2 linked regions of the Oryctolagus cuniculus genome follow. The protein of the gene in region 2 purifies or fractionates together with the protein of the main gene of each other region. This does not show direct contact. Links are inferred from orthologs where the notes say so. Each region holds a gene or a part of one and is shown on either strand. Other genes may lie near its edges. The genes, in order: TENT5C and FNDC3A.

Region 1 (14,808 bases), on a different chromosome or scaffold from region 2:
AGCCAGCCCTTCTGTTTTAGAGACAGACGAGAGGGAGGAGAATGGGATATTGCTGGAGCCGCAGGGTTTAAGAGCTAAGAGCCAGCAGAGTTCAAAGGTTTCATCCACAGGCTACCTGGCCATCTAACTCTCAGGCTTAGAGCCTCAGACGGTGGCCAGTTGTCCCCAAGTAAGACTGCAGCTGGCTAACAGTCCTGTCTAGTCACGGCAGCATCCCTGGGCCTTATCAGGAAAGGGACAAACAACTCCTCGGTTACTCAAAGGCAGCATTTATCACGGTTTGACACATGGACACACCCGAGTCACAAGCACCCAATTGTGAGCTGACCTCAATTCCAGTGCAGACGCCACTTCCGCAGGCAGTTTCACGGGGTTTGTGTTTTGCTTGAGGGTTAACAATCACGCAGCAGCAGCAGTCCTGACCTCCAGGTTCTCCGGCATGGAAGTGGCCCGAGGGGCTGAGGGGCTCAGAGGTCCCGCGGACAACATTAAAATAAGGCTAATAGAAATTTGGGTGGGTGGTGTTAACAGGAAGGAGCAAACCACGCGGTGATACCTATTTCCACACCAACTATACCCAAGGTGGTCAAACCACTTTGTCTTTGGCGTTCAAACATGTGGAGGCACTGGTCATGCGTGCACTTCCTGATGATGACTGCAAATGAGCATTTACCAAGCAATTAGTGTGTTCCTGTCACTAGGTCTCTCCTAAGTACCTGTCACTTGAAAGTCACTTCCTTTTGCATTTCCATTCAAATGTTAAGCGTTGATGAAATGTAACTGTTTGGCGTCCTAGGTTCCCTGCCAGTCTCAGAAAATTTTACCCACACTCCTTTGAAGCTACATTCCTTATAGCTATCCTTTAAAAAACTAACAAAGCAACAGAAGAAGCACCAGATCAGGAATCAAACATGCTGTAGTTTGGTGTCCAGTCTGACTCACAGGGCAGATGAGTATCAGTAAGTCAGCAACAGTGGCCCAACTTTCTGGCAGTCTTTCACCTATCTGTGTGCTGCCTCCATTCCGAGCACTGTTCTAGGAGCTCATGATACAGCAGCAAGTCAGAAACAAAGATCCCTGCCCGTGGAAGGCTTGCATCGGCTCATTCTCTCTTCCCAGGACTCAGGGCTGTGGAATTCTTGACTTCCACATACACATGTGGAATCAGAATTTGAGACTAAAATGTTTTTATACCATCTAGACCTTGGCTGCCAATATGATAGCCATGAGCCTTGAAATGCAGCAGGTTCAAATAAGTGCAGGGGCTGGCGCTGTGGCGTAGCAGGTAAAGCCACTGCCTGTAGTGCTGGCATCCCATATGGGCACCGGTTCAAGTCCCAGCTGCTCCACTTCCAATCCAGCACTCTGCTATGGCCTGGGAAAGCAGTGAAAGATGGCCCAAGCCCTTCTCCCTCTGCACCCACATGGAAGACCCAGAAGAAGCTCCTGGCTTCAGATCGGTGCAACTCCGGTCGTTACAGCCATCTGGGGAGTGAACCAGCAGATGGAAGACACCTCTCTTTCTCTCTCTCTCTGTAACTCTGCCTTTCAAATAAATAAATCTTAAAAAAAAAAAAAAACAAATAAGTGTAAAATACACACTAGATTTCAAAGACTTGGTATGAAAAAATAGAAAATAGCTCATTTATATTTTTATATTCAAATCACAGTATTTGATATGGTAAACAGACCCAGTAAGATGAATTCCACAACTACTGGAAGGTTCACTGTGCTTCTCCTGTTTCTATTGGTCTAGGCGATTGCCCTTATTACAATGAAGACAGCGAAGCTTGAAGAGCCAAGAGTTCCGCCAGGACCAGAACCCAGGTCTCCCCACAACTGAAGGCAGCCAGCCGACAAGGCAGCGAGGTGGGGGAATAAAGACTACAAAGGGCCTGGGCAGGGGAGAAGCAGCCGTTACGTGGTGTGAGGTTCCCAGCACACGGAACCAGAGCTAGTTCCTAGCTGAGCAACCCTGGCAAGCAGCCAGACACAGCGCAGGTGCTCAGCTGGCAACGCCTTTCACCTCCACCCTTGGATCAGCACACTTCCAAAAAGTGACTCCATGTGATTGACAGAATAATGTAACACCCCCAGCACCAGGCAGCTGCCGGAGACCTAAACGCTCATCTTGGACTCTGGCAAGCAGAGGGCAGGGATCAACAGAGTGTGTGTGGGTGAGGGGTAGGCAGCCGGGCTAGGTGGAGTGTTGCCTTCTCTCCTATCCTTGTAAGGGCTAAGCAAGTGGAGAGGGCAGGGTTCATGCGTCACTCTCTCCTCAATAAGTTCTTATGGAGGAGGTGCTCAACACAGACACAGGTAAGGAACTTTTTGTGCTCATCTCATGGAAGACAAAAACCAGAAAATCAGGTGCCAGGCACAACGGTACAGAAGTAGTACTGCAGAGGAGAGGCAAGGGGACAGGAGCCATGGCTTCAGAAGCCTGTGCGAAGGGCCCAAAGCTGACCCCCATCACGTCTGGGGAGGAAGGGGGAGTGGGTACTCTGCAGCTAGGGAGGGCAGGCACAAGACGGGACAAGGGAGGTCAAGACAAGAGTGAGAAAGGAGGCTCTGTGTTATGAGGAAGGGCAGCCCCCTTGAGTGGCTGCAGAGGGTCCTGGGAGCCTGGGACAGTGGAACTGGCCAGAGGCAGAGAGATGTGCTGGGCCAGTGCTCTCAGCAGGCAGCTGTCCACAGGCCCCTAAACCAGGTCAGTGATGACAGTGGGAAACCAAATATAAAAGAGAGAAAGCATCAGCAGAACGAGCAACTGAGTGAACGTGGAGAGAGACAGAAAGGCTGAGCGAGCCCTGGGCGGCTGGGGGCGGGACAGCCCGGGGAGGCTTCAGGAGCCTCAGCTGTTGGCCAATTAGCAGGTCTCGGCCCTGGGCGCCAGACCTATACCCCTGAGGCCTCCAGAAAACCAAGACCCAGAAACTGCCCTGCACTTTAGGCTGGGGGCTTTGGGTCCAAAAAGGTTCCCTCCCATGCCTCGGCCCACCAGGAAGACGCCCACCAAAAGCACGCCTCCTACTCCGACAAGGAATGGCAGGGGCGCGCCCACAATCCACACGACGACACGGGCAGGCTGGGGTTCTCAGCAAGCATGGACTTCCCCACTGCCCCTGACCTGCAGCTCACTAACGAGGGCAAACCGAGCAGCTCCAGGGCAGGATTGAAGTCAACCCAGCTCCTCTCTCGCACAGCGGCCCGCGGAGGCTTCCGCAGGCCCTCACATACCATTGCCTTGGCCTCCACTGCACCTGGCACAAAGCGCTGCCTAGGAAGCACTTAACCACTTACTGCCTCCAGCGCTGCGACCCAAGAGGAAACGCTGCACACTCGAGTGACCAAGCCTCCAAAGGCTCTGCGGCTGAAAAACATCCCACGCGGGGGGTTGCTTAACAGCAGCAGTTATTTCTTCATATTGGTTCTTTCCTGTTGTTCCAAGAAGCTCCCCAAGCTCCGCAAACAGTTTTAGAACAGGCTACGGGGCCAGCTGCACACGATCTATTCATTGGAAACAATTCACAAGGCTCCCATACAGAGTTGGGCTATGTAATGACAATTCTCCCTCCAAGTCATATACATTCCAAACACAAGCTTATTTATCATGCAGGCAACGAAAGGGTTAAAAGAAAAGTTAGAGCACTCTTCAGTCCCGGAAATATCATAAGATTATCAGCACTGTTGATGTGCCCAAGTGGCTTTACAGATGGGAACATTTCTCTGAATTACAAAGGTGCCCTGCTTCATCGTAATACGACTGATGACAATTCAGTGTGCCACAGCCAAAGCACCAAGACCGCAGAAGACATTATTCTGTGCTGCCCTGCTGACTTCAGTGACAACATAACAAAGCAACAGACTTTATCTAGCCACACTCACGGTTTTTCCGAAGTGACACTTTAGACTCTGTATGGCTCCTTGTTAACCACAAAACTAACACTCTCTCTCTCACACACACACACACACACACACACGAGCGATACAACTGCAAGTCAGGTGCAACACCACGAAACCCAAACACAACAACACAAGTTTAATTTAACTCGGGGAACTAGGCCTCGGCTGCCTCATCCTCCCGCAGTGATGAACAAGGTTCAGCACATCCATTCAGAACTCCTGGGTCGTCCTCCTTCTCCGGCTGACTCCGTGAATACAACGCATCCAAGATGAAAAGGGAGGACCCCGGTACTACCTACTGAAGCAGGAAGAAAAGAAATTAAAATAGTTTTCTCATTGTGTCTCAAGTGTGTCCAGTGAATAGTAAGAATAAGGGCACGATGGTGCACTTTTAAATTATCTTTGTTGCCAGGCTGTTCCTTGGACTTTCAGAAGCATGAGGAATTCTCTGTTCTGATGGGTTGTGCAGGATGTACATGGTCTGCCCTGACCTTGAACACAGGGCAGGATGGCTAAATATGTGCACTGTTGGGAGATAGGGCTGGGCGGGGGAGGCAGGGACTCAGGATAAGGTGACTCCTGTGGTAGCAGGACAGCTGGAGAAACTAAGCAGGGAGAGCTGGTGCTCAATCAATAACATTCATTCTGTAACACACACACAAAACAAGTAAACAAACAAAAACCCAGCCAGGCCCTTTCCTTCAGAGGTGCATGAATTTAATCTCTGGATACAAGGCTACTATTGTGGAACAAACTCCTCGTTAGGAAGAGCATGGCTGTTAGTTCTGTGTGCACACACCAAATGACTTATGAAATTAGGGACCTTCCTTTGGTAACTTAGATGCCTCCTGATAGACTTTTTTTTTTTTTTTAACTGTGGTCTTCTGGGGACACCTCCTGCAGCTCCCTGAATAATTACACACAATATACCAAAATCTTCTCTCCAAAAACTGCTAAGACAGGAGCAGGTGTATACTCCAACAGACAAGGTTTCAGGGACCTGAAGTACACGAAGCTTCACCCCAGAGATCATGTTTTGCTTTTTTTTTTCATTTGCAAAGCAAGAATGTCAAAGGACAGAACCACCACTGCCCCAGCCCAGACTGCCTGCCTCCCTGCCAGCAACAGAAAAGTCAGCATTTTAGTCCCCACCCTGCCCCCCCACAACTGCAGGGTCTACGGGGCGGGGTCCAAGTCCCAAGTCGGGCTGGAAGACACGGGGCAGTTCTTGGTAAGCTCCTCCACCAGCTCACGGTGCCTGGCTGCCTGCCTGCCTGGCTTGCTTCCTTGCCAAGTTACTCACGTTGAAAGGTCGGTGCAGCCAACAATGGCCACCCTCATCCTCCCAGGAGGACAGCCAGCATTTAATAATCTGAGCTTTCCGTCCTGGGGTGCTTCAGGACTCCAACCCCTACCCACCATCCTGAATGCCAAGTGGTTACAATACAAATGCTTACACACATAGTCTTTATGGAAATGGGCTGCAAGTGCGCTTCCAGCACTTCCTCGTACTCTTGTCATACAAGCTACAAGCCTTTTTTTTTTTTTTTTTTTTTTTTTTTTGAAAGCAGATCCGCACTTAAAGAGCTGGTCGGAGCCTGCAGAAGCTTCTCTCTCTGGGCACACGGGGAGCCGTCCCTCTCGGTCCGGCTCAGCCCCAACAGCCGGCGCCACGGACGACCGGCGCGTTTCTCCAGGAAGCCTCGCTCACTCCGAGGAGGCGCGCTCGGGTCTCCTCGCTGGCGCTCGCGGCCTCAAGGCGGACACCTGGACTCCGCAGGTTCGTCGCTCTCCTTCGCGTCCCGAGATCTCAGCGCCAGGAGCCCGGGACCGGGACACCACGCGGGGCCCACGCGCCTGGAGGCCAGCCGCTGCGCCGCTATCCAAGTCCGCAAGACCCGTCGGGGCTTCCCGCCCACGCGGTAAGCAAGTTTGGTTTCCCAAAGGGGTAAGAATCGGGTCCCGCAGACGCTTTCCGAGAGACACGCGCGCACGAGCCCCTCGCTCGGCTCCTGGGCTGCCCTCGGTGTGTCCACGGCGGACAGCGAGTCCACCGACAGTCAAGGCTGTCCCGCCCCTCTCCGTACAGCCCAGACCCTGGCTCTGCGCCCAGGCAGCGCCCCGCCCCTGCCCGCAACTTGCAAGCCTCGGACCGCTCCGTCTCCAAGTGCGCCCGGCGGAACCGCCGCGTTCGAATTCGCGCTCGGCCCGCCAGAGCCCGCGGGAGCGTAGGGGCGAGCCCGAGACCGCCAGCAAGGCCAGTGCGGTGGGGCCTCCGAGCGGGCCCGGAGCGGGCCCGGAGGCGCTCTCGGCGCACTCCCGGCCTCCCTGCCTGCGCCTGCCCCGCGGGACGCGCCGAGCAGGAACTCGCTCCACTTTGCCAAGCCCCGGCCGCAGTCTCCGGAAAGTTGTAGCCTTCTTTCTCTCTCCGGGCGGGCGGCCGAATCGTGGAGGGAGCAGGAGGCGAAGGCAGCCCAGGACTGGGGCACCTGTCCGCGCCTCCACTTCGGTCCCCGCTCCCCGCACCTGGCTCGACCAGGACGGGCGCACCGCTCGCTAGGGGCGGACCCCCGAGGGCCGAGCGTGCGGTTCGCCCCGGCCGCCGCGGCACCCGCGCACCTTTGGAGGAGGGGGGTCGGGGACTCACCTGGGCGGTGGAAGAGGCGGCGACAGAGGCAGGTCCTTGGCGTGGGCAGCCCCCAGCAGGAGCGGCGCGGTCACTGCAGCCCCCAGGCAACGGCACCGAGTGAGCCGTCCAGCCGCCGCCCCCTCCGTTCTTATACGGCCTGGCCACGCCCCCGCCCGCCGCCGCGGCCGCCGGGCCCCCGCCTCTAAGCCTGCCCTCCTGGGGGAGCCAGGGGCGGGGCGGGGCCGGCGCAGGCCCTCGGGAGGAGTCGGCCGGCGCGCTGACGGCGGGGGCGGGGCCGGCGCTGCCCTCTGATTGGCCGCTCGGGTGAATGGTTGCCGAGAGACGAGTAAATCTTCTGCGGCGGGGAGGGGCGGGGCGCGGCGCGGCAGCCTTGCGCAGGCGCAATAGAGAGGGGCTGTGTCTGCACCCCTGACTTCGGCGTTTGCCGGGACGGCTCTCTCCTTTCTGCCCTTCCCCTCGCAGGGTAACTCGACCCCCCCCCCCCAACAAGCTTCTCCCGCCTCCAGTCCGGTCCCTTGCAGCCTGCCTCTCTTACGTTTCTCCGGGGCTTTTCGCACTGGTCCCCCTTCCTCCAGCAGCGGACCATGAGGTGCCCATGCCTGCATCCGGCGCTGTGCGTGAAGTTGGAAGAAGTGTGGCTTGAGGGCCCTGGGAACCTTTGGGATTGCGCAAGCCCCGCTTGGCTGGGGCTGGGGCTGGGGTGGGGGTGGAGGCGTGGTCACGGGGGCGCGGTGGGTGAGCAGGCTGCAGGGCCCACCTGTGGGCAGTTACTGGGCTTGAGGGCCTGGGGAAGCCGCGGCCAGCCCCGCACCCGGAACGCCTCGGGGCTCAGCCGTGTGTGTTACATAACGTGCGGGCGGGGCCTGAACGCCGTCCATTCACCCGCAGGGGGCGGCGTCCAGCCCAGGGCCAGCATTCAGACTCGCTGGGGTTGGCATCTCCGTTCACCACCAGCGTTAAGGCCCTGGGTGAGCAACCTAAAGGACTCTCCACAAGCCTCCACTTCCTGGCTGCAGGCTGGGACCCAGCCTGGGACGGCTTCGAAGGGTCGGACTAGTGCTGAGTCGGAGCTCCCTGGGTTTGGAAAAGTTGATCAGTGCAGCGTCTGGTATAAGGTGACCCCGTGGCGAATGCTGCTTATATCTAATGGTAGCCGTTATTCATCAACAAACAGTCGTTGAGCTGGTTTTCATCCTCTAGTAGCTGCGGAGGAAAAGTTGCAGTGTCTCCTTGCCCTCACCTCCCCCCATGTCCGTCCCTGCCTGAAATGCGTATGGTTCTCAGCCGCTGACAGCAGGCTGAGTTCTCAGATCAGTGTCTTCCTGGGAGTCCCCAGGAGCTGTAATGGGATAGGACCGCAGGTTGAGGTGCTTGTAAGAAAAGCCACAGTGGCCCTATTGTTGGTCCCAAAATGAGGATGTATGGTCTGGTATTTTTTCACCGTTTTTGAGGAATAGCATTAAGTAAAGTGCACAAATCGTGAAGTGTGCAGAATGATGATTTTTTTACACACGTGTGCAGCCACGTACCTGCCACCCAGATCCACATACAAAACCGTGAGGTTCACTCTTGTGTCTAACAGTGGCTCGTTCTTTTTCATTACTCTTTATTACTTCATTCTATAAATATTCGGTCATTTGAGTTGCATCAGATATTGACTTTTCAGGAATGAAGCGGCCTGAACACTCTTACACGTCTTTTGGTCGACATAGCAAAATCATTTATGTCAGTTATACACCCAGACTGGAATTCCTGGTTCCTGGAGTAAGCCATGTGAAGCTTTAGATATATTGCCAAACAGTTTTCTAAAGTGGTGTAACAATTTATGTTCTAACCAGTGATGTGAGATTTCTCGAAGCTCCACATCTTTGCCAGTATTTGTACTGTCAGTCTTTCGAGTTTACGAGAAGGGAGGAGGGGTGTGTATTTCATTCTGATGTAAATTTGCATTTCTCTGATGATCGATGATGGTGAACAACGTTTTAGATGCGTCTTGCCATTCTGGCACCTGTTGAATGAGGTCTCTGTTCAAGGCTTTTGCCCATTTTGGGGGAGGTGTCTGTCTCATTGATGTGTAAGAACTCTGTATATTCTCAATACGGGTCCTTTGTCCAGGGCATTATGTATTACAAATATCTTCAATCAACCTATGACGTGCTTCTTATTTTAATGTTATCATTGATAAACATAAATTCTTTTTTAAATTTTATTTATTTTTATTTGAAAGGCAGAGTTACAGAGAGGGTGAAGCAGAGGCAGTTAGGGAGAGAGAGAGATCTTGCATCCTCTGGTTCATTCCCCAAATGGCCTTGATGACTGGAACTGGGCCAGTCCGAAGCCAGGAGCCAGGAGCTTCTTCTGGGTCTCCTGTGTGGGTGCAGGGGACCAAGCACTTGGGCCATCTTCTACTGCTTTTCCAGGCACAATAGCAGGGAACTGGATTGGAAGTAGAGCAGCTGGGACTTGAACCGGGGCCCATATGGGATGCTGGCACCACAGGTGGAGGCTTAACTCACAATTGCTGCAGTGCCAGCCCACAACATAAATTCTTAATTTTAAAATTTATGAATCTTATTTTTATGACTAGTATTTTTATGTCCTGCTTAAGTCTCTGCCTATCCTAAGGCCAAAAAGAAAATCTCCTTTGTTTTCTTCATTGCTTTCACTTTTTCTATCTATAAGGCCTTGGGTCAGTAACTTAGCCATCCTTCCATAAATTATCTCCAATCATAAAAAAATTAATACAGATTATTGCATTGGCTTTGGCCATTTCAACTGTTTCAGTGCCTCGTGGATACAGTTAGCACAGGTGGCCTCAAGGTAGAACACAGGGCAAAAAGTCTTAGCCTAGAATTTGACCTAGCACCTTTGCTTGGCTGAAATTGTTCAACTTTCTGAACAAAATTAGGCAATTATATGGTGGAGAGATCGGGAGAACCTAGCGCCAAAAAGAAATTCATTATTCATACACAGGCATAATTTTTTTCCTTGGGATATTCATTATTTGACTTGTTTTTAGATTTTGGTTTCAACTGTGTGCTTTTGCTTTTTTTTTTTTTTTTTTTTTTTTTTTTTTTTTAATACAGTCTGTTCTTTCTACCTCATAAAACCATGGCATCCTGGAGCTGGAAGGAGTATTAGAAAGTACCCACGTCCTGCCTATCGGACAGGACAGGGAACCAGATATTGAAACTGTCCAATATACTGTGCCTCCTTGCCAAATTCCGGACCCTGCTGAAGCACTTGCAGTCAACGTGGTTTAAAAACCTCTACATTCCCGGTGGTTCACTGATTTGCACCTGGGAAAGCTGAGTGAGAGAAAAGCATTAAGGTCTTTAAGATGCAAGCATGCCTCACTTGTAGCAGTGGCCCTGAAAAACTTTGTTGTTTCAAGAAAGAAGTTTTGTACAGCGCCTAGCTGTGGCCTGATTTATCAGTTTCTTAAGTCCTGAGTGTTTGTACTACTGTATCTCAAGGTGAATCACCACTGTAGATGTTTATTCAAATACCCTTCTCTAAACATCTTCTTTAAACCAATTCTTAAGTTTTTTTATCAGTGTATGCAGATAAGGGCACAGTGTATAGAACACAGCTCAGTGAGTGTTCACAAACTGAACAAACCTATGTTACCGGCACTCAATCACAAACAAAGTAGCATCAAAGCCTTCCCTGGCAGATTTTAAAACCACCACAGAGGCACTGTCTGTGCTCTGGTGGGGCCAAGACATGACTTGGCTTTCTAATTCCCACCAGCACTCTCTCCAGGAAATGCCCATCTCTTCTCGGACTTCCTCAAGCAGTATTCTTGGGTGTTTCAGAAAGAGAATGAGATTCAGAGAAAGAAAACATTAGCCTATTTTTTTTTAAAGACTTATTTATTTTATTTGAAAGATTTACAGAGAGAGAAGGAGAAGCAGAGAGAGAGGTCTTCCGTCTGCTGGTTCACTCCCCAGTTGGCCACAATGGTCGGAGCTGCACCGATCTGAAGCCAGGAGCCAGCAGCTTCTTCCCGGTCTCCCACAGAGGTCCAAGGGCCAAAGGACTTTGCCATCTTCTACTGCTTTCCCAGGCCGTAGCAGAGAGCTAGATCAGAAGTGGAGCAGCTGGGACTCGAACCTGCACCCATACTGGATGCCAGTACTGCAGGCAATAGCTTTACCCGCTACACCACAGCACCAGCCCCAGAAGACATTAGTCTTATTTGGAGTTAAGTCCCAGAATGAATGGGAGGCAGGACTGGTTGGATTTGGTGGGAAAGAAAAAAGGGGGAGGTGGATCGCATCTATGGGCACAGCTCTGGCAGCCTGGCAGTCATGCAAAGACCCTATGAAGGGAATAAGACAGGGCTCCAGGAAGGAGGAGGGGGCATGGGTGACACTGTCAGAGAAAAGAAGAAGTCAAAGGTAAACCATGTGGACTTAATCGCTGCCCACCCACCCTGATGGTGTGGCTGTGGAGAAAGGGGGTGAGTCTGACTGCTTGGATCCCTGTCTCAGCCACAGTGCAACCTCGGACACAGAGCTTAACCTCTCTGAGTCTCAGCTTCCTCCTGCACAAAGGGGAAAGACAATGGCCAGGAGCCTGCTGCTTGGTGGAGGTGTGCGCTCATCGAGTAAAGTCAGGGATGCAGGCGAAAGCAGTGGCCCCGTTCACAAGATGCATCTCTTTGCCCGCCTTGTTCCCTTCTCTCACTGCGCTGTGGGGACAGCTTGGCAAGCAAGGTGGATGAGAGCAGAGGAGGGTCAATTGTCAACATCACACAGTGCTTGCCTTCTCTCCTAGGGCCCCAGAGTTCTTATCTGAGGAGTAACGTTTTTCAAATCTCCCTCCTGGTGAAAGGGATTCCATGGAAGTGTGAACTGCTAACCGATCATACCATATCTCACGAGTAACCATGGAGTCCACTCTGAACTTGCATTATTCCGAGATCCAGGCCGTCTCACTGTCAGCCTGCCCCAAGCCCTGAAACTCCCAATGCTGGAGCCCTTTCCAGTTAGGGCAGAGCCTCCTGCCATTGCTATGTAGCCTGCCTAACTGCCGGTAGCACCTAAATCACCAAGCAGGTGTAGCTCTCAGTTCACGTATTGCCCAGGCCTTGTAGGAGACTGGATTCTTAGTTGCAAAGCCATCAAATATGGTTCTGGCTGATTTCAGCAAGCTGGAATTTAAAAAGCTATGTCGAGGAGCCCACAAACTCAGCAGGATAGCTGGAGAACATGACCAGTTGGCTCTGCTTCCAGGAACAAGTCCTAAAACTCCAGCTACACAACTGGTCTGGGAAGACACCGTGACGTCATCATTGACACAGGCATCTGGTGTTGCCGCTGCTGCATCGGGATAGAGCCGTCCCAGCCCCCACCGCTGCCACCTCTAGATCATCAGAAGCCTTGTGTCTCCAGTCCCTGCTGCTTCCCACCAACCAGCAGGGTGGGCGGGTGCCTCTGACAACAGAACCCAAGAGGATGGAGCAGTGACTCATGAGCCGTTTTCCGTTTCAACCCTGGGGAGTGGGTTCAGCCTCTTCAGGCAGAGAAGTCTCCAAACAGGAAGGAGGGTTGGATGCCGGCTGGCCAGACCATGCACGTCGCCCTCCCCACCGCATCCGTCAGTCTTTGTGAGCCCCGCTTGAATGAATCAGCATCCTTTGATCCAGCCAGCCCTGGGCCACAGATAGATGCACACAAGGCCCTGAAACCCACAAGTGTGAGGGCCAGGAAAATGGATTCTTGAGAAGCTTCTAGAATGGAGGCCGGCCAGCTGGCCCCACCCTGCCAATACCCTTTGCTCTTGGCCAGGTGACGCTCTTCCTCTTCAGAATTCTTGGAATAAGCACTCAGTGGATGTTTGATGGAAAAAGGCAAAGAAGAAAAAGGAAGAGGCCTTGGATAACCACCCCTTCCTCAAATCTCAGATTCCATTCCTAGCTGTGTGGTCTATCAGTCACCTTGCAGCATCGGGCTTCGGTTCCCCCCGCCCCCAGCAGTCCCCGTGAATGAAAATGACCCAGCTGTGCTTGCCTGGATGCCTCCAGCCCCAGCAGTGAATGTCAAGGAGCTAAAGGGTGTGGGGCTGTGCTGCCCAGGGTGCATCATGGGGTTGACTGCACATAATGACAGTGTCCCAGAGCTGGCGCTTGTGTAACAGGCGGATTTACCGAGAGGGGACGACTGTTTGCTCAGCAGCCGAGAAGTCTATAATTAGACTGTCACAACATCAGCAAAAGTACAGGATCAATGTAATCAGAGAAGAAATGGAAAAGAATACGGCATCAATCAAAGCCGCCACCGGGTCCCCGTGGTTTCCGGAGCACTAATCGCCCGGGCGAGGTTTAGTGTCCTACTTGTGGGTTTCCTCTTGGGTGATGGCAAGGTTGCTTTGGGCCTACCCTGCCTGCCTCTCTCTGCCACCCAGTTCTTACCCTCTGGTCTCTCTCCTCCACTTCCTCTGATCACTGAGTCTTAGGGAAGAGGGGCCAAAGGAAGCAGGATTTGCACCCAAAACTCAGATGCCAAGGTGCCCATAGTAGTCCTCTTGATGTGGAGGGAATGGAGGAGGGCCATGTTCTTTTAAATGCAGAGTCCTTGGGCCCCGTCACAGCCCTATTGAATCAGAACCTCTAGGAGCAGAGCCTTGGAACCCTCATTGACTACATCCCTGTGAGTCTCTGTCTAGAAGCTTGAAAGCTACCGGGCGGAGCCACCCTCCTGTCTCGCGGCAGACTTGCCCTCTCGTCTGTTCTGCGTTTGGAGTGGTTATAGCCCAGGTGAGCCAGCAGCAAGATTTGGGGCAGCCAAGGTTAGAGACCCTTTCTGAAGCCAAAGAATGATAATGGGCTTCTTATTTGCTTTTTAATGACATGAAGAATTCCAAGCTGCAGACATGTTCATCTCATTAGTCCTCATGGCAGCCAGGCCGGGGTAACGTCTAGTGTCTTTAGTTTCTTTCCATCCAAGCAGATCGGGCCCCAGATCTGTCCCAAGGGGTCTGCATCAGAGGCATTCCAGACTCACGGACAGAAGCAACTGAAGCTTCCAAATTTGTAAACTTTATTTCTTTAACAGTTTTTTACATGAATAATGCACACTGCCTTGCGGAAAAGTTAGAAAATGCAGTAAGGCAGAAGGAAGGAATAAATCACAACTCATGCCATGGAAAAGGCCGTGGTTGTTTATGTTCTTCCACACTCGTGTCTGTGTCTGTGTGTGTACACATTCACACGTGCGCCCCAAGGAGTGGGTGGCACACTTGACCAAGGTCAACAAGAAGAGCTAACGGAAAGTCAAGGTTAAGCAGAAACTTAACAAGGGATTGGCAGCACATTGGCAACAAGTAGAGGAGGGGTGGTCATTTCCACACTGGGCCTGAAGGAGCAAGAAGCTGGAGAGAGTCGCTGGGGCCGGGCGAGGGTGCCTGACAGGAGCTGTGGTCTTTGGTCAGGCAGTGCAGCTGCCATTAATCTGCTCTCAGCAGGGCAGGGACCAGTGAATCCTTGTTCTTCTTGCCCTCTGATCTCCTGCCTGTGCTTCCCGCTGGCCACACCTCCCCAGCAGGCAGGCTGGCGCAGTCGCAGTCGCTGGAAGTCAGCCTTCTGAGATCTGGCAGGGAGTGAGAAGGTGGGAGGGGGGGTCTGGGATGGGCAGAGACTATCTCCATGCACGTCCCCTGTGCATCTGGGACTGCACTGAACGGTTTTAAATGTCTACAGCTCCAGATCTAGGAAATGCAGTGTTCTGTTTCCACTTAATTCTTTCCTTGGCCACACCAGTGAGTGCAGTGAACTGTTGCTTCACGATGATGCCCTTAGCACTGAGTTCAGAGCCCTGGCTGCAGCTCTGCCTTCTCCATTTGAGACACAGTCACAGCTATTCAGTAAAGTGGGCTCCTCCCTGGTGAGAGCCCAAGGAAGAAGCTGAGGGGCCTGGCTGAGCCCAGGGCTGCCCTGAGCTTACAGTCCCACAGGGGCTTAGGGGAACAATACCAGTCCCCATGAACCAGGCAGAGAGGCAAGCCCCACGAAGAAGCCACAGAGGTCTATAGTAATAATGGTGATCCATTAATATAAAATAGCATTTGTAATAGAGGTTTATTAATAGTAGATCGTGGTGAGTGTATACTGATGCTGCTCCATGATCTTTATGGTATTTATAATATTTAATCTCCAAACAGGTCCTACGAGGTTGTTCATATTATTATTTTTTTTGACAGGCAGAGTTAGTGAGAGAGAGAGAGAGACAGAGAGAAAGGTCTTCCTT
Region 2 (14,647 bases):
ACCAAAGCTCACAGAGGTAAAGTAGCATGCCCATGTTTATATATAGACAGTGAAGGAAGAGGCCAAGAAACAAACCTATGTCTCCTAATGCAAAACACTCTTTGTAATATTCTACAAAGTAGGGAAGTAGTGAGAAATAATGATATAATCATAAAGTATCACAAAGTATGGACTCTCAAAAGAGAGACAGAAAAGATAATTGCTGTGGCAGGAATTGTGATGTGATTTTAATTACTAAAATTGAGAATGATTATAATAAATTCACATTTTTGAAACAGTCTAGAAGCAGCCTAAAACATGAGTGACAGGGATAGTTGCCCTTACATTTTACTCAAAATCTACTCTGTCACAAACACTGGGCTAGTTTCAGTGAGGGTCAACTAATAGATTTTAAATTGTTAGCATTTAAGGAATAATGACCTCAAATATCAGAAATAGCTAAGTCCTAACAGTAACTAAAAAAATAAAAAAGGGGTGGCGGCACTATGGCGTAGCAGGTAAAGCCACTGCTTACATGCCATCATCCCATACAGGCACAGGTTCAGGTCCCAGCTGCTCTACTTCCAATCCAGCTCTCTGCTATGGCCTGGGAAAGCAGTGGAAGATAGCCCAAGTGCTTGGACCCCTTTTCCCCACGTGGAAGACCAGGAAGAAGCTCCTGGCTTCTAGTTGCAGATCAGTCCAGCTCCGGCGGTTGCAGCCATTTGGGGAGTGAACCAGCAGATGGAAGACTCTCTCTGCCTCTGCTTTTTAAATAAATAAATCTTTAAAAAAAATAAAAAGGCACTTCATAAACTCAAACAAAAATCAAAAAAGTAAGTAAATGACATGGCTATTTTTACAAGCTAGATCTCAAAAGTAGTTATTATCATGACATCTATTTCTATAAAAGTATATAATTCTTGTATAATTGCTTAGTAAAGAAAAGTCTTGGGACTGGTGCTGTGGCGTAACAGATAAAGATGCCGCCTTCAAGGTCCGCATCCCATATGGGCACTGGTTTTGTGTCTTGTCTGCTCCACTTTGGATCCAGCTCTCTGCTATTGTGCCTGGGAAAAGCAGCACAAGATGGTCCAAGCAGTTGGGCTCCTGCCACCATGTGAGAGACCTAGCAGCAGCTCCTGGCTCCTGACTTCAGCCTGGCCCAGCCCTGGCAGATGCAGCTATGTGGGGAATAAACCAACAGAAAGATCTCTCTCTGTTAACTCTGACTTTTAAATAAATCTTAAAAAAAAAAAAAAATGAAAGAAGGAAAAGTCTTAACTTAAAATGTACTTAAACATCTGTCTAGAATCCCCTAAGTAGGAGGATTTTCTTTTCCCCACCAAAATTATGTGGCTGTAGGTTACTGAAGGTTACTAATAAAGTAACTATTCACTAGGGAAGGAGGTAATGAAAAAATCATGTAATTTAAAAAATTCTGTTCAAACACATATTAAAATGTGTATTCTGAAGAAGACAAAATGATTCCTTTCAACATTTCTGAGAAATTTGACTAACACAATATCTAATTTATCAGATTTAGGTAACTCTCATATCAATGTTCATTTCAAAAGTATACAGTACTCTGTATTTTTAACAACCAGATACAGGAGATCATAAGTGAGGGAGAGAGATATGGAAGTCAATTACAAGTATAGTTTCCTCTGTAAATGGGAGTAATACCACATATGTGGCAGGCTTATGGAGGATTTTAAAAATAACCAAGTATAGGGCCTAAAATCCAATGAAATTTCAACAAGTGGATTTTTTTTACTTTAGATACAGAAATAGTCTTTACTTGGAAAAAAAATAAAAAAAGAACCATTAGGAATTCAGTTTGCCTATTTTTACCCTGCTTTGGAAACAATAGCTGAAGTTGTCTAGAATATAAGATCAGAATTCTCTTGCAAAAAGGGACAAGGCATTGGATAAGCATGATGCTGAAAGATCATGGAAAGTGTTTATATACATCCTCTTTGCCAAGAAAGCAGTTAAAACATGAGTAAACTAAACGTTTACAGGAAATATACCATGTTTACAGAACTTTTCCCTTACATATTAGTATTGTCACATGTAAGCACTTAATATGGTACTTTAATTGTCTTCATCATTTTCAACATCTCTTTGGGTCCTTACAGTACATTCTAGGAAAACAGATATTATTCTCTATTTTAACAACTTGAAAACCAAGAATGAAAAAAAATTAACCTGAAATAATCATCAAAAAGTGGCAAAGTTCGAACTAAGATCGAGCTTTTGAGTCACTATCCAAGGTACTTTATCTCCTATTTAGGAAATAGAAATAGCTGGAATGGTGAGGATGTTTCAAGCTTGACAAAAGGAGAAGGGGAAGCATGAAGTGTTTATTTCCCCTTAAAGCAAAATTTAAAAAGTCAAATATTTTATTAAGTTTACAGATTGTGACAAATATATACTAATTTAAGACATTAATACTAGGGGAAGCTGTTTTTTGGGGTAAATGGGAACTCTTTGTACTACTTCACAACTTTTGTACATTTAAAACTATTCTAAAGCACAAAGCTTAAAAAATTTTATTAAGTAGCAGTTTATTAAGGCTAAAATTCAGTTTAAAAAGTCTGCATTATCTATACAGTTACAAAACATGGAAAATACTAGTAATAAGTAAAACTACAAAAGTTAGCTTAGGTTTTGTGGTTTTGCTTGTTTGGTTGGTTTTAATGTTTTTAAGGGGAGAAAAGAAACACCACTGATTCTATCCAAACAGCTCCCCATCTTATACATCTTTACTTTATCCGGTTCCCAATATTTACCCTGTTATACAGAATGTATTTAGCAATGTCCACTGAATAAAAGAATGCTCTTATGTTGTATTCTTGCTCCCTTGATACCACAAAATATAGTATAACCCTGGCCAACTGATTCATGCAGCCATACCTGAAGCACTGCAATTCACCTGGTAGTGGTACATGAAGCAGTGTATGAAGGAAATAGAACTACCTTAGACTTACACATCTATAAATTTACAAACTTAGAAGTGATATTTCATATAAATGAATTTTCAAAATAACATTTATTCTTTAAATTGCCATATTTTATCTTACACTGATCTTAGTGGAAATGTTTGAAATTTCTAGGTTTTCCTTCCTTGCCTTCATCTATACTTTGATGTACAAATTTGCATTTTGATAATATGACTCTGATGCCTCAAACCCATCAATATAAACATCAATTATCAGGCTGTTCCATTAACATAGTGACTCTTCCCAGAGTTACTGTAGGATGTTATCCAACTGCCCCTTCTCTAAATCATCCTAAACTACTTTCAAAAACAAAGTTCCCTACTTCCTGCTCCTTTGCTCTTATTCACAGACTAACAGCACCCAAAGTCATAGCTTCTGAAATTATAGCTGTCATTCTAAAAAATGTAAAACTAACACAGGCAGTTAATATACTTAATCTTATACAAATTCTGCATCAAACCACTGTGGCTATTTTCACTGCCATAAGGCCTGACTCAAAGGCTTTTCTTCTTTCACTTCCTAGTTCTTTTTTTTTTTTTTTTTTTTTGTTTTTTGTTTTTGTTTTTGTTTTTGACAGGCAGAGTGGACAGTGAGAGAGAGAGAGACAGAGAGAAAGGTCTTCCTTTTGCCGTTGGTTCACCCTCCAATGGCTGCCGCGGCTGGCGCGCTGCGGCCGGCGCACCGCGCTGATCCGATGGCAGGAGCCAGGAGCCAGGTGCTTTTCCTGGTCTCCCATGGGGTGCAGGGCCCAAGCACCTGGGCCATCCTCCACTGCACTCCCTGGCCACAGCAGAGGGCTGGCCTGGAAGAGGGGCAACCGGGACAGAATCCGGCGCCCCGACCGGGACTAGAACCCGGTGTGCCGGCGCCGCTAGGCGGAGGATTAGCCTAGTGAGCCGCGGCGCCGGCCTTCACTTCCTAGTTCTAAAATCTATTCTAGACTCTTGCTAGAAGTTTGGTCACAAAATAATAAGACTAGTACTTATTTTAGCATATTTTCTTTATATTTAGTATAACATAAGGAAAACACACAGTAATAGCCACCAAACAACCATACAAACCAAATAATAGAGGAAGCTTCAACAATATGTATATAAGGACTATTACCTAGCCAATTATTAGCCAGGAGTCAATAAACTGAGCCCCAGGCCAAATCTAGCCCACAGACAGCTTGTTTCTGTTTGGTCCTTGAGCTAAGAATGGTTTTTATATTTTTAAAAGACAATAAACAAACACAAATATTCAACAGAGACTGTAAATGGCCCACAAGGCCTAAAATATTTATCATCTAATACTCGACAGAAAAAAAATTTGTCAACCCCTAATTTAAGCTACCTAAGCTAGTATGTGTGAGCTATCCAGTATACACAGAACTTAAGCTATTAATATGTCAAAGTAGATGTAGTTTTTTTCAGTGATGAGTTCCTAATGACACAGCCAAGCTGTCTTGTCTAGCCTTGCCTATTCCTCTTCTGATCCAGTCCCACAGCTTACCTAAAACCTCTACCTAACTTAATTTTTTTCTTCCTTGTAATACTTGTCCTTGGATACTCTACTACTTCCAACTCAGCCTGTCAATCTCTTAGGGAACAATTTTCCATTTGCCACATAAATCTTTCCTAAGTTTGAAGTCTGACTTCCTCAAAATGCCTCTTAAGATTCTTCTAGCCCTCTCTGACTGCACTTCCCATTAAAGATGGCAGCACAAACTTTAATAAAACCATCTTATCTTGTTTGCTACTTTGTTAGTCTAGTATCCCCAACTACTTTATAAAGTACTTGGAGGAGAGAACCCATTATACTGCTTTTTTATCTCCACTGTAATGTCTCATCATCCTCTGAGCAGATGCCACCTCCCAAGTGCACTTCTCTATCTTGGAGAAAAAAGTAGCCTCAGGACTGGTAATCTGTGACAAGTGATGGAAAATATATCAAGATGACACCATAAAGGAAACTGATGGAAAACCATCGACTTCACTGTAAACTTAAAAAGGATAGCACAGATTGAAGACAAGAAAAACAAAATAGTGGGAGGATTGAAAGGTAAGAATCAAGAGATTAAAAAGATATCACTGGGCCTGCGCTGCTCCACTTCATATCCAGCTCCTTGCTAATGCACCTGAGAAAGCAGCGGAAGATGACCCAAGTCCTTGGGCCCCTGCACCCACATGGGAGACCTGGATGGAGTTCCAATGTTGCAGCCATTTGGGGAGTGAGCCAGTGGAGAGAAGCTCTCTATCCCTCCCTCTCTCTTTGTAACTCAGCCTTTCAAATATAAATAAATCTTCCAAAGAGAGAGAGAGAGAGAGAGAGAGACAACCGACTAACACTCTGAAATGAAATTAACAGAAATATTAAGAAAATTATAAAAGCTCACAATATATGTAAAAGAGTAAAATCTGCCTTGCAATACTACTGGCCATTAATTTCCCTTAGACAAGCAGCTCTTGACACTGACACACACAGGGGCCATATTTCTTGTTTTGTAATGTGATAAAGTTCAACGCAGTAGATATGCACAGTATTCTAAATCTCTGCATTTATCATATTGTGAATTTATTTGAAGTCTGCTACAGAGTGCTAAAGAAGGAGGAAAAAAAGAAAGAAAAGACAGAAAGAAAGAAAATAAATAGCAATCCTTATCTTTTGCTTACCTGGCTAATAACACTGGCACTTACATGCACATCTTTACATCACTCTCAAAGGCTCTATCTAGACTGTTTTCTTGGGAAAATGAACCAAGAATTTTTTTAAAAATCATTTGGTTAGTTTATCACACTGTATTTAAAATACAGGTAAAATATAAGGGGCACAAGTTTTGAATTATGAACATAAGCAAACATAAATGTTCTTAAACAAGAATAAATAATACTCATAAGCCTAAATTTAAAATGGATAGATTATAAATTAAATGCTCTTTGCCTAAGGAAAGTCACAAAAGATGGTACGAATATTAATCACACATTCCTTTTTTTCCCTTGGTTTTTAACATAATCTCTCAGCCCTTACCTATGTCTGGTTAGGGATGATGGAAATTTTTTTCTTAATTAGCAAAAAAAAAATAAGTTCAATATCATATCATAGGCATCTGACAAAAAATTATCCTTAAAATGCATGGCAAAATAAAATAGATCTGCTCTTAATTACTCACATGAAGAGAGGAAGTGACAACACAGATGGCACCAAAGAAATCTGTTTGTTCAAATGCATATCATTAATTTGGGAGAAGCAAATTACCCTTATAATTATGCTTGACTGAGGCCAGGGGTAATCAGGAGTTTATTTTTCCTGAGTATTCAATGATTTGCAGGATTTAGACAAAAAGGGAGAAGAGGGAATTCAGAAGCATACAGGTGGCTAAAGGTGGCCAGCCCAGAATAAAACCATTTTCTAGTTAACCTACACATGGAAAACTAAGAGATGATCCATGAAGTGAAACACAGTAAAATTTAATGATAGTATTCAAAATTCTAAATATAAAATCTAATAAAACATTAACAAGATTTTTCCTGTCATGTCACCATCTCTTTTTCCCACTAATCAGTGATATTATTGGTGAAAGCAAGAATCATTAGCAGGTTAAAATGCTAAAAGCAAAATTTGGGGTTGTAATTTATAAAAGACACGTCAGAAATCCTCCTTTTATCACTATTTCTGTTAGGCCCACCATCTGTCTCAGTGACACTCTATCTCAACACTTGAGAAAAAATTAATTCAAAGAAAATATCAAGCAGGCAGAGGACTCAATTCTCTTGAACATTTTTAGGCGATTTAAACAAAACTTACAAGATGGCAAGAATTACAGTTTTAGCCAATACACAAAAACTAAATATTTATCCAAACACAAGATTACAGCCCCAAAACTCATTTTGTTTCTGCCTAACATATGGCTCAAACTCCTGAGTGGCATATGTTTGGTACTGGTAACAGCACAGTGATAAAATACTATAGAAAGAGTGCAACTGTTATGTTATTTTTATAATACAGAAACACACACACTTTGGTTTCAAGAACTAAAAATACAGACCTCAGTAAGATGCAAAATATTAGGCTGCTGTTTTAAAAGCCATCGGGAACACAGACCGAGGATTATACCTGCTATTCTTAGCTAACAGGTGGTCCCATATCAAGGTTTTCGAAGGAACTTACATAAAATCTCAGCCCCCCCCCCCAAAAAAACGAAAGAAATATCTAATTCACGACCCCTAGCACCCCCAGCAATCATTACACACACCCCCTAAAATAGCCCAAGGCTTTTCAACTCCACAGTTTAGTAAGAGAGACGATCAACGACTACGCTCATTAAAACAGCGACTGTTCTACTCGCAACTGATAAAGAAAATATCTGCCCATTTTCCTTTACCTAACACATGACGTCCTCCCAAAGCCGTGTCAAAAGTTCAAAGATCCAGGTGGTTACACAGGGCGAGGGCTGCAGCTTCGCTTCCACCTCCCGACTGCACAGGTGGTTAACTCACCTGGGGAGAGGAACGGCTGGGTACTGGCAGCAGCCACACAGATCAAACACAGAAGGGCGGGTTTTCGAGGTTTTAACCCCAAGGTGAGCCGGGGGTGGAATGGGGTGGGAGGGGAACTCTCTTCAGAAAAGTCGCCGGCTGCCGGGCGGCCCAAGCCCCGCGGCGCAGCTAGCGCCCGGCGATCCCCTCCAGAGGGCTCCGCACCCGCCCCGCACACCCTCCGGAGCGGCGCTGCCCGCCGCGGGGGAGGCAGGGGCCCCGGGGGAGGGCCGCCCGCGCCCCCGCACCGCCGCGCGCCCCCGCAGGCTCGCCCCGGCGAGGCGCGGCCCCGACAGGTGCCCGACTAGTAGACGGGTCCGGCCCCCGGCTCCGTGCCCCTCAGCCCGCAGGTCGGGGTGGGATGGGCCGGGCCGCCCTAGAAGGGGCCGAGCCCCGCCGGGCGCCCCGGCCCTCAGCCACAGCCTAACGGTTTCCGCGGCGCCAGCTCCGGGGCGGGACGGGGCTGGGACGGCTCAGTGTCGCCCGCCTTTCGCGGAGGGAGTGCCGCCCGCGCTCTCACCTCCGAGTCACGCCGCCGTTCTGAGGCAGAGGAAGGCGGCTCCCCTGGCGCCTCTTCGGGTTCCTGATCGATCGCGATCTACCTCAGCGGCAGAGCCCGCTCTCGGGGCCGCCGGCGCGCCGACTGTTGGGGTTGTTTTCCCGGCAGTGACGGCGCTGCCTCAGCCTCGCTCTTCGCTGCCTCTCCGCGTAGCTCCCGCTTTCTGTTTCACCCGAGGGACCACGAACGCCGCCGCCGCCATGCTTACTACGGAGCCGGGAGGAGGAGCCCAGGGTCGGCGCGCCGAGTGCGGCTGCGCGAGCCCTGCCGACGGCGCCCCGGGCCGGCGGGGACCCCGCGCCCCCGCCCCGCGCCCGCCGCGGGTCTCTCCCCGGGGTGCGAGTCCCCGCGGAGCCCCGGCGCGTGGCGTGCCAGCGCCCTCGCGCCGCTCCCGGAGCGCCCACCTAGCCCCGGACTCGCGGCTCCGTCTCCCTCTCTCCCGAGGCCCGGCTGCGCCTGGCTCCGAGCCACACTCAGGAAACGTGTAGTTCATTGACGTTCCTAGGGCCGCTCGCTCAATACTCAACCCACATTCTAAAAAGGCTCCCTCTCGACACGCACCTTGTCCGCCCCTTTCCGAAAGCACCAGAATTTAACGCCGGCAGGTGCTTGTGGAGACACTCCCCCAACCCCTCCAAGGACTGCGAAGCCAACGGAAGAGGGCTTGGATGCTCCCAGTCGCAGACTTTCAGAGCCCGGGATCTCGATAGCAAGCACAAACATTTAAAAGATTGGCTTCCGTTGAGAACATGTGGGGTCGTTTCTTGGTCTCTGCGGCAGCCACATCGCGTGGAAACCCATTACCTTAATTTCCACAACAGCTTGAAGACTTACGAGGGACCGCGGCAGAGATTTCCTTAAACCTCAAGCAATTGGGGGCGCTGCGGCGGTGCCCACGGGCTGGTCTAGGCTGCCTGCTCCGGCGGTTTCCACCGGAAGACCTGGGGAGGGGGAGTCCTGGGGACGGGAGTCCCACCCCAGCAACCACCCGTTCGGTGAGGGTGACAGAGGTAACCCAGCTCCGGGTCTGGCTTTCAGTTCATTAAGCGTGCGGCCTTTTTTTTTTTTTTTTTTTTTTTTTTTTTTTTTAGCAACATGTTTTTACACCGTTTTACAGAAACCTCTGAAAGTATGTAGTTTCTACTTTCTTAAAGAATACAATGCCTAATGAAATCCTTTGTGGCCGGCTATCAAAAGCGATACCTTTGTCGCACGCTGACGTCTCAGGGGAATGCTGAGGTTTATAAAATCCTGACTTGGTGCGGTTTCCGCTCCTCCGCACCCTCCCCCCATGGCCTTGGGAATGTTCTCATCGCCTCTTCTAATATCTGTCATTTCCTCATCATCCTCTTTATCCACTCTGATCTTTCCTCTCAACCTTTCCACTTTACTGTTTAATTTTTTTTTTACTCTTTTCTCCTTTCTCTGCTTTTTTTTTTTTTTTTTTTTTTTTTTTTTTTTTTTTTTTGCTATGGCCCCAGGTGATGAATGATGGGATATTTCTATCCGTAGACAGCTAGTGAGACGTTCCTTTTCTTCGGGTCAGGAAATAGGCGCGTGACTGTGTATTAAAGGTATCTTGCGATATTTTCATAGCTCTTCACCATCAAAATTTTCTGCCCTGCAAGAAATGTTTGTTTTCCTAAACTTCCAAATTTGGCTTTCTTCCAGACAAAATTGCTGGAAAGCAGATCTTAGAATAACTGAAGTGTAATTGTATGTTGTTTTAAAATATGAGGATTTATCAGAGTGTAGGTTAGCTGCGTGGCTTCTCCATTTGGCTGCCCAGTTCTCTTTGGCCTGAGACTAGGCTAGGAATTTCCAAACTCAACTCTAAGCTAGTAATTCCCAAAACTTCCTACTTGGGAATTTTATAAAAATACAGAATCCTATAATCCACCCTTAGGATTCTGATTTCTTTGTTCATAGGGAAGCCAAGAAATAGCATTTTTAAAAACAATGTTTTTGGGCCGGCGCCGCGGCTCACTAGGCTAATCCTCCGCCTAGCGGCGCCGGCACACCAGGTTCTAGTCCCGGTCAGGGCGCCGGATTCTGTCCCGGTTACCCCTCTTCCAGGCCAGCTCTCTGCTGTGGCCCGGGAGTGCAGTGGAGGATGGCCCAAGTGCTTGGGCCCTGCACCCCATGGGAGACCAGGAAAAGCACCTGGCTCCTGGCTCCTGTCATCGGATCAGCGCGGTGCGCCGGCCGCAGCGCGCTGGCCGCGGCGGCCATTGGAGAGTGAACCAACGGAAAAAGGAAGACCTTTCTCTCTCTCTCTCTCTCACTATCCACTCTGCCTGTCAAAAAAAAAAAAAAAAAAAAAAAAAAAAAAAAAGAATGTTTTAGTGAAGTATGTATGTCCCTGGGCATTCATGCATAGGCAGAGTGAGGAAGAACAGCTATTTTATTTGTTTGTTTTCTTTCCTGAGAGAGAGAAGAGAGAGCGACCGAGCAAGAGCCAGCACTCCTAATTGCCGGTTCACTCCCCAAACTCTCTCAACAGCCAGGACTGGGTCATGCCCAAACCAGGAACCAAGAACTACATCCAGGTCTTCCACATGAGTGTCAGGGACCCAGTAACTTGAGCCATCAGTGCTGCGTCCCAAGGTGTGTATTAGCAGGAAACTAAAGTCAAGAGCAGGAGCTGGGAATTGAACCCAGACACTCTGGTGTGGATTGTAGGCATCTTAACCACTAGGCTAAAAACCTGCCCAAGAACAGCGATTTTGAAGGGGAGTTGGGCATAATGCAGGATGTCTTTGAAATGGCCTTAGACACTGTGGTCAACCACATGGTAGGCTATGAGGTTCAGTTAAGCAAAGACTGGGGGAATTTATGTCCTGTGGAGAAAATTAAATATACACATAATTGACCCTAGCTTGTACACCAGTCTAAGTTCTCTGGGAACACAGAGAAGGACAGTAAGTTATGTTGGCTTTGATCAAATCACTTCTCTACACAATGCTTCATTTTCCTTATCAATCAAATAAGGGCCATTTTCAACTCCCATCACTACAATACTTTGAGCACTATTTGTCCTTGAACATTTCTAGTCTCTTTGGTGCTGCATTTTCTGGACACTGCTTCTCTAATTCCTCTGCAGGCTCTTGCTTATCTCTCTCTAGCTGTTAAACATAAGAACTCAAAATTCACATTTAAGTTCTTTCCTGTTTCTTTGTAATCCCGTGGACTAAACAACATTAGCCACCACAATGATTTTATCATCTCTAATGATGATTTCCATGTATTTCCCTCTTGTACAAATTGTTCCCCTGCACTCCAAATTTGATACCTACTGCTTCATTGACATGTCCACATAATGTCTCAAAAGTTACCAAATTTAGTCCAATAGAGTTCATGAACTCTTTGTTTTCATTTCCCTCATCTACCCAGTTGTTCAAATCAAGCATCTGGCAGCCATCCTTGAAGTCTCCTTCACCTTCACCTTCATTCCTCACATCTGTTGCAGCACCAACTCATGGTAATTTTAACTCTAAAATGTCTTTGGCCCACTTCTTTCCAATCACTACCGATCTAGTTTGATCTCACTGTACACAATCTCGGGCCCTGCTTTCATTTGTTGCAACAAAAATGATATTTCAAAAAGCAAATATGATTTACATAAAACTCATAAACAGCTTCCCACTGCTCTAGGATAAGACTGGAGTTTTTTTTTTTTGTTGTTGTTGTTGTTGTTTTTGCCAGGCAGAGTTAGAGAGAGAGACAGAGAGAAAGGTCTTCCTTCCATTGGTTCACTCCCCTAATGGCTGCTACGGCTGGCGCTGTGCCCATCCGAAGCCAGGAGCCGGGTACTTCTTCCCGGTCTCCCACGTGGGTGCAGGGACCCAAGCACTTGGGCCATCCTCCGCTGCCCTCCCGGGCCACAGCAGAGAGCCTGGAAGAGGAGCAACAGGGACTAGTACCCGGCGCCCCAACCAGTGGTACTAGAACCCGGGGTGCAGGCGGAGGATTAGCCTAATGAGCCACGGCACCGGCCAAGACTGGAGTTCTTAAGGTGGTCTTTCAGACCGTGTGAGGTCTGGCCCCACTCTCTTTTTCCAGTCTCATCTCCCAATGCTTCCTGGGCAAAAGACTTACCAGGCTTCTTTGAGTTTCTTTAATGTCCTATGACCCCAGCAGCCCCAGGTTCTATATATATACTTTCTTCCCCCTTTTAACTGTCTTCTATCTCACTTGGGCTTCAGGTTTCAGCTTGAAAGGGACATCCTTGGGAAAAACATTTCTAGCCTCTCAGGACAATTTTAAGACCTGTTACTGGTGTCAACTTTCCTACCATCATCTACCTTTCCTTCTTATGACTTTCCACAGTTTGTATTACATTTTGGCATGTGTGAATGTATGAATACTTGGTTAATGACTGTTGCTGCCTCTGTGAGGACAAAGACTATGTCTGTGTTGACTTGCACAGTGCCTACCACGTAGAAGGTGCCCAATTACTACTGAACAATTCAGGGATATTCTTTGAGGTCTCTTCCAGGATTCTAGAAGGTTGTTGGATAACTGATCATTTTCAGAAGTGGTGTTTTTTTTTTTTTTTTGTATGATTACTGGGAAGAGATGCGGGAAAGTGTTGAGAGACAGTTCTCCTTAGTTTTTATATATCTGTACATCTTGTGAACAGAGGCACTAATAGCTTTTGTTCTAGACTGTCTCTTCAAGGATTTTTGTTTGGCAAACAGCCTTGGAAAATAGACCTAATGTCCCCCGCCAGAGCAGAGGGCACATCTGTTTACCATCCAATATAATAAAGAGAATGCTACTTCTGAGGTAAGGCTAGAATAAGTTTTCTTGTCTCCCATTATAAAAGACTGAGGGTTTCTTAAGCTCAGGGTTCTTAACTGTGACAGGAATCTACTGCAGGTGGAACCACTCATTGCTCCAAATGAAACCTGGGTGAACATGACACTGCTGCCAGCTGCTATGCTGAAAGTAATACAGTTCTTTGACCCATCCATAAGTTATTAGTAAGTTGTTAGCTGGCAAGGAGGAGGACAATAAAAATCTCAGACCATTCACAGTTGTTTTATTTTGTTTTCAAGACTGATTTATTTATTTGAAAGGCAGAGTGACACAAAGAGAAGGCGATAACTCCATCCTCTGGTTCACTCCAGAAATAGCCACATCAGCCAGGACTAGGCCAGGCCAGGAGCCCAGAACTCCATTCGAGTCTCCCATGTGGGCTGTAGAGGCCCAATCCTCTGACGGTCCTCTGCTGCTTTCCCAGGCACATCAGCAGGGAGCTGGAACCAGTGCCCTGTTATGTGATGCTCGCATTGTAAGCAGCAGCCCAACTTGCTGCACGACAACAATGGCCTATGCACAGCTCTTGACAAAGTATATGGGTTGAAGAGAGAGGACAGATGAAGAAGTCAAATGGAAAGTAGAGATTTGTCTTGTAGAACGTTTTGAGGGAAAAGTTTGCTGATGAAAGGAGAGAGATGGGACAGTAGATTGAGGTAGGGGAGTTGTGTTGCTCGAATCATCCAAGTAGCACTGGGGTCCTCACTGTGAACACAAAGAGAATTCTGTTGCCGCTGTCCTTTCTTTAGGTGCAAGTCTGGAAGAGGAAGAAGCAGTTGACCTGGAGGGAGGTACACCAAGTAAAGCAGCCAAAAGCATGTGTTTGTCTCTGAGGAGGAGTGTGGTATGTAGGGGAGGAGAGACTGCCTTTGGAATCAGGTAAATCTGGGCTTGAATCCCAGCTCTTTTACTAATTGCTTGATCTTAGCCATGTTATCTGACCTTTCTGGAACCTCAGTTCCTCATCTAAACTAGGAATAAAATTCCCACCTTACAGAACTAAATAACATAATATGTGAGAATGCCAGATATAGGCCTAATGATTAACAAATAGATGATACTATGTGATTAGCATGTCCTGGATAATTATGACCTCAGGATGTTTGGGAATTCCAGAAGCTTCCTCCACATTTCCAAGGATACTTGGGAAGAAACTTGCCCAGGGTCAACACTTGCTCTAAATTCCTGATCCTATTGCCATGCTATTACTCACTATGTATTCCCAGGAATGGGACAGCTCTTTCCCTAAAATCAAAGGAAACAAGGCCCAAGATAGGAACAATCTTGAATTGTTCAAGAAATAGTAATTGGGTACCTTCTACATGGTAGCCACTATGCAAGTCAACACAGACATAGTCTTTGTCCTCACAGAGGGAGCAAGAGACATTAACCAAGTATTCACACATGGAATGTTGGCCAGTTACACCACAGGAAATTTCTCTCTGGCTATCATTTTCCTTAGACTTCATACTGCCACTAATTTTCCATGTTCCTTCACTCTAACAAGAATCTTCTCCACATTTTTCTGAATTTCTGGGTCCCCTGAACAGCACTTCTTTTCAAAGCCACCAGGGGCAATCGCCAAATACTTGTTAATTTACTGTTACTCAAAGCGATGTCTCTTTGTTTCCTTTCCTAACTTTTATCCAGAATAGCGATGGAGGCCTTAGCTTTAATCTCAAAAATGAGAAGGTCTGTTAAAGTGATTGCCTAAACCAAATATCCAAGAGAAGTACTTCTTAAATGTTGGCATGAATAAAAGCACC

Evidence for each region.
Region 1: the proteins of FNDC3A (region 2) and TENT5C purify together in Homo sapiens (affinity purification with western blotting; 3 studies listed by BioGRID, with this or other methods). This does not show direct contact. The link is inferred for Oryctolagus cuniculus from reciprocal best matches to the Homo sapiens genes FNDC3A and TENT5C.

The regions. Positions count from the first base shown.
Region 1 is NC_091438.1:52,807,409-52,822,216, forward strand, and holds the start of TENT5C (terminal nucleotidyltransferase 5C), read right to left. Parts: upstream 6,812-14,808; 5' UTR 6,554-6,811; intron 1-6,553. UniProt on the Homo sapiens protein: Catalyzes the transfer of one adenosine molecule from an ATP to an mRNA poly(A) tail bearing a 3'-OH terminal group and enhances mRNA stability and gene expression.
Region 2 is NC_091440.1:68,349,786-68,364,432, reverse strand, and holds the start of FNDC3A (fibronectin type-III domain-containing protein 3A), read right to left. Parts: upstream 8,889-14,647; 5' UTR 8,848-8,888; coding exon of another isoform or gene 8,810-8,847; 5' UTR 8,784-8,809; coding exon 8,622-8,783; intron 8,301-8,621; exon of another isoform or gene 8,022-8,300; intron 7,602-8,021; exon of another isoform or gene 7,348-7,601; intron 1-7,347. Other genes in the region: uncharacterized protein, read left to right, coding at 8,810-8,847, 8,889-9,070, 13,631-13,760. UniProt on the Homo sapiens protein: Mediates spermatid-Sertoli adhesion during spermatogenesis.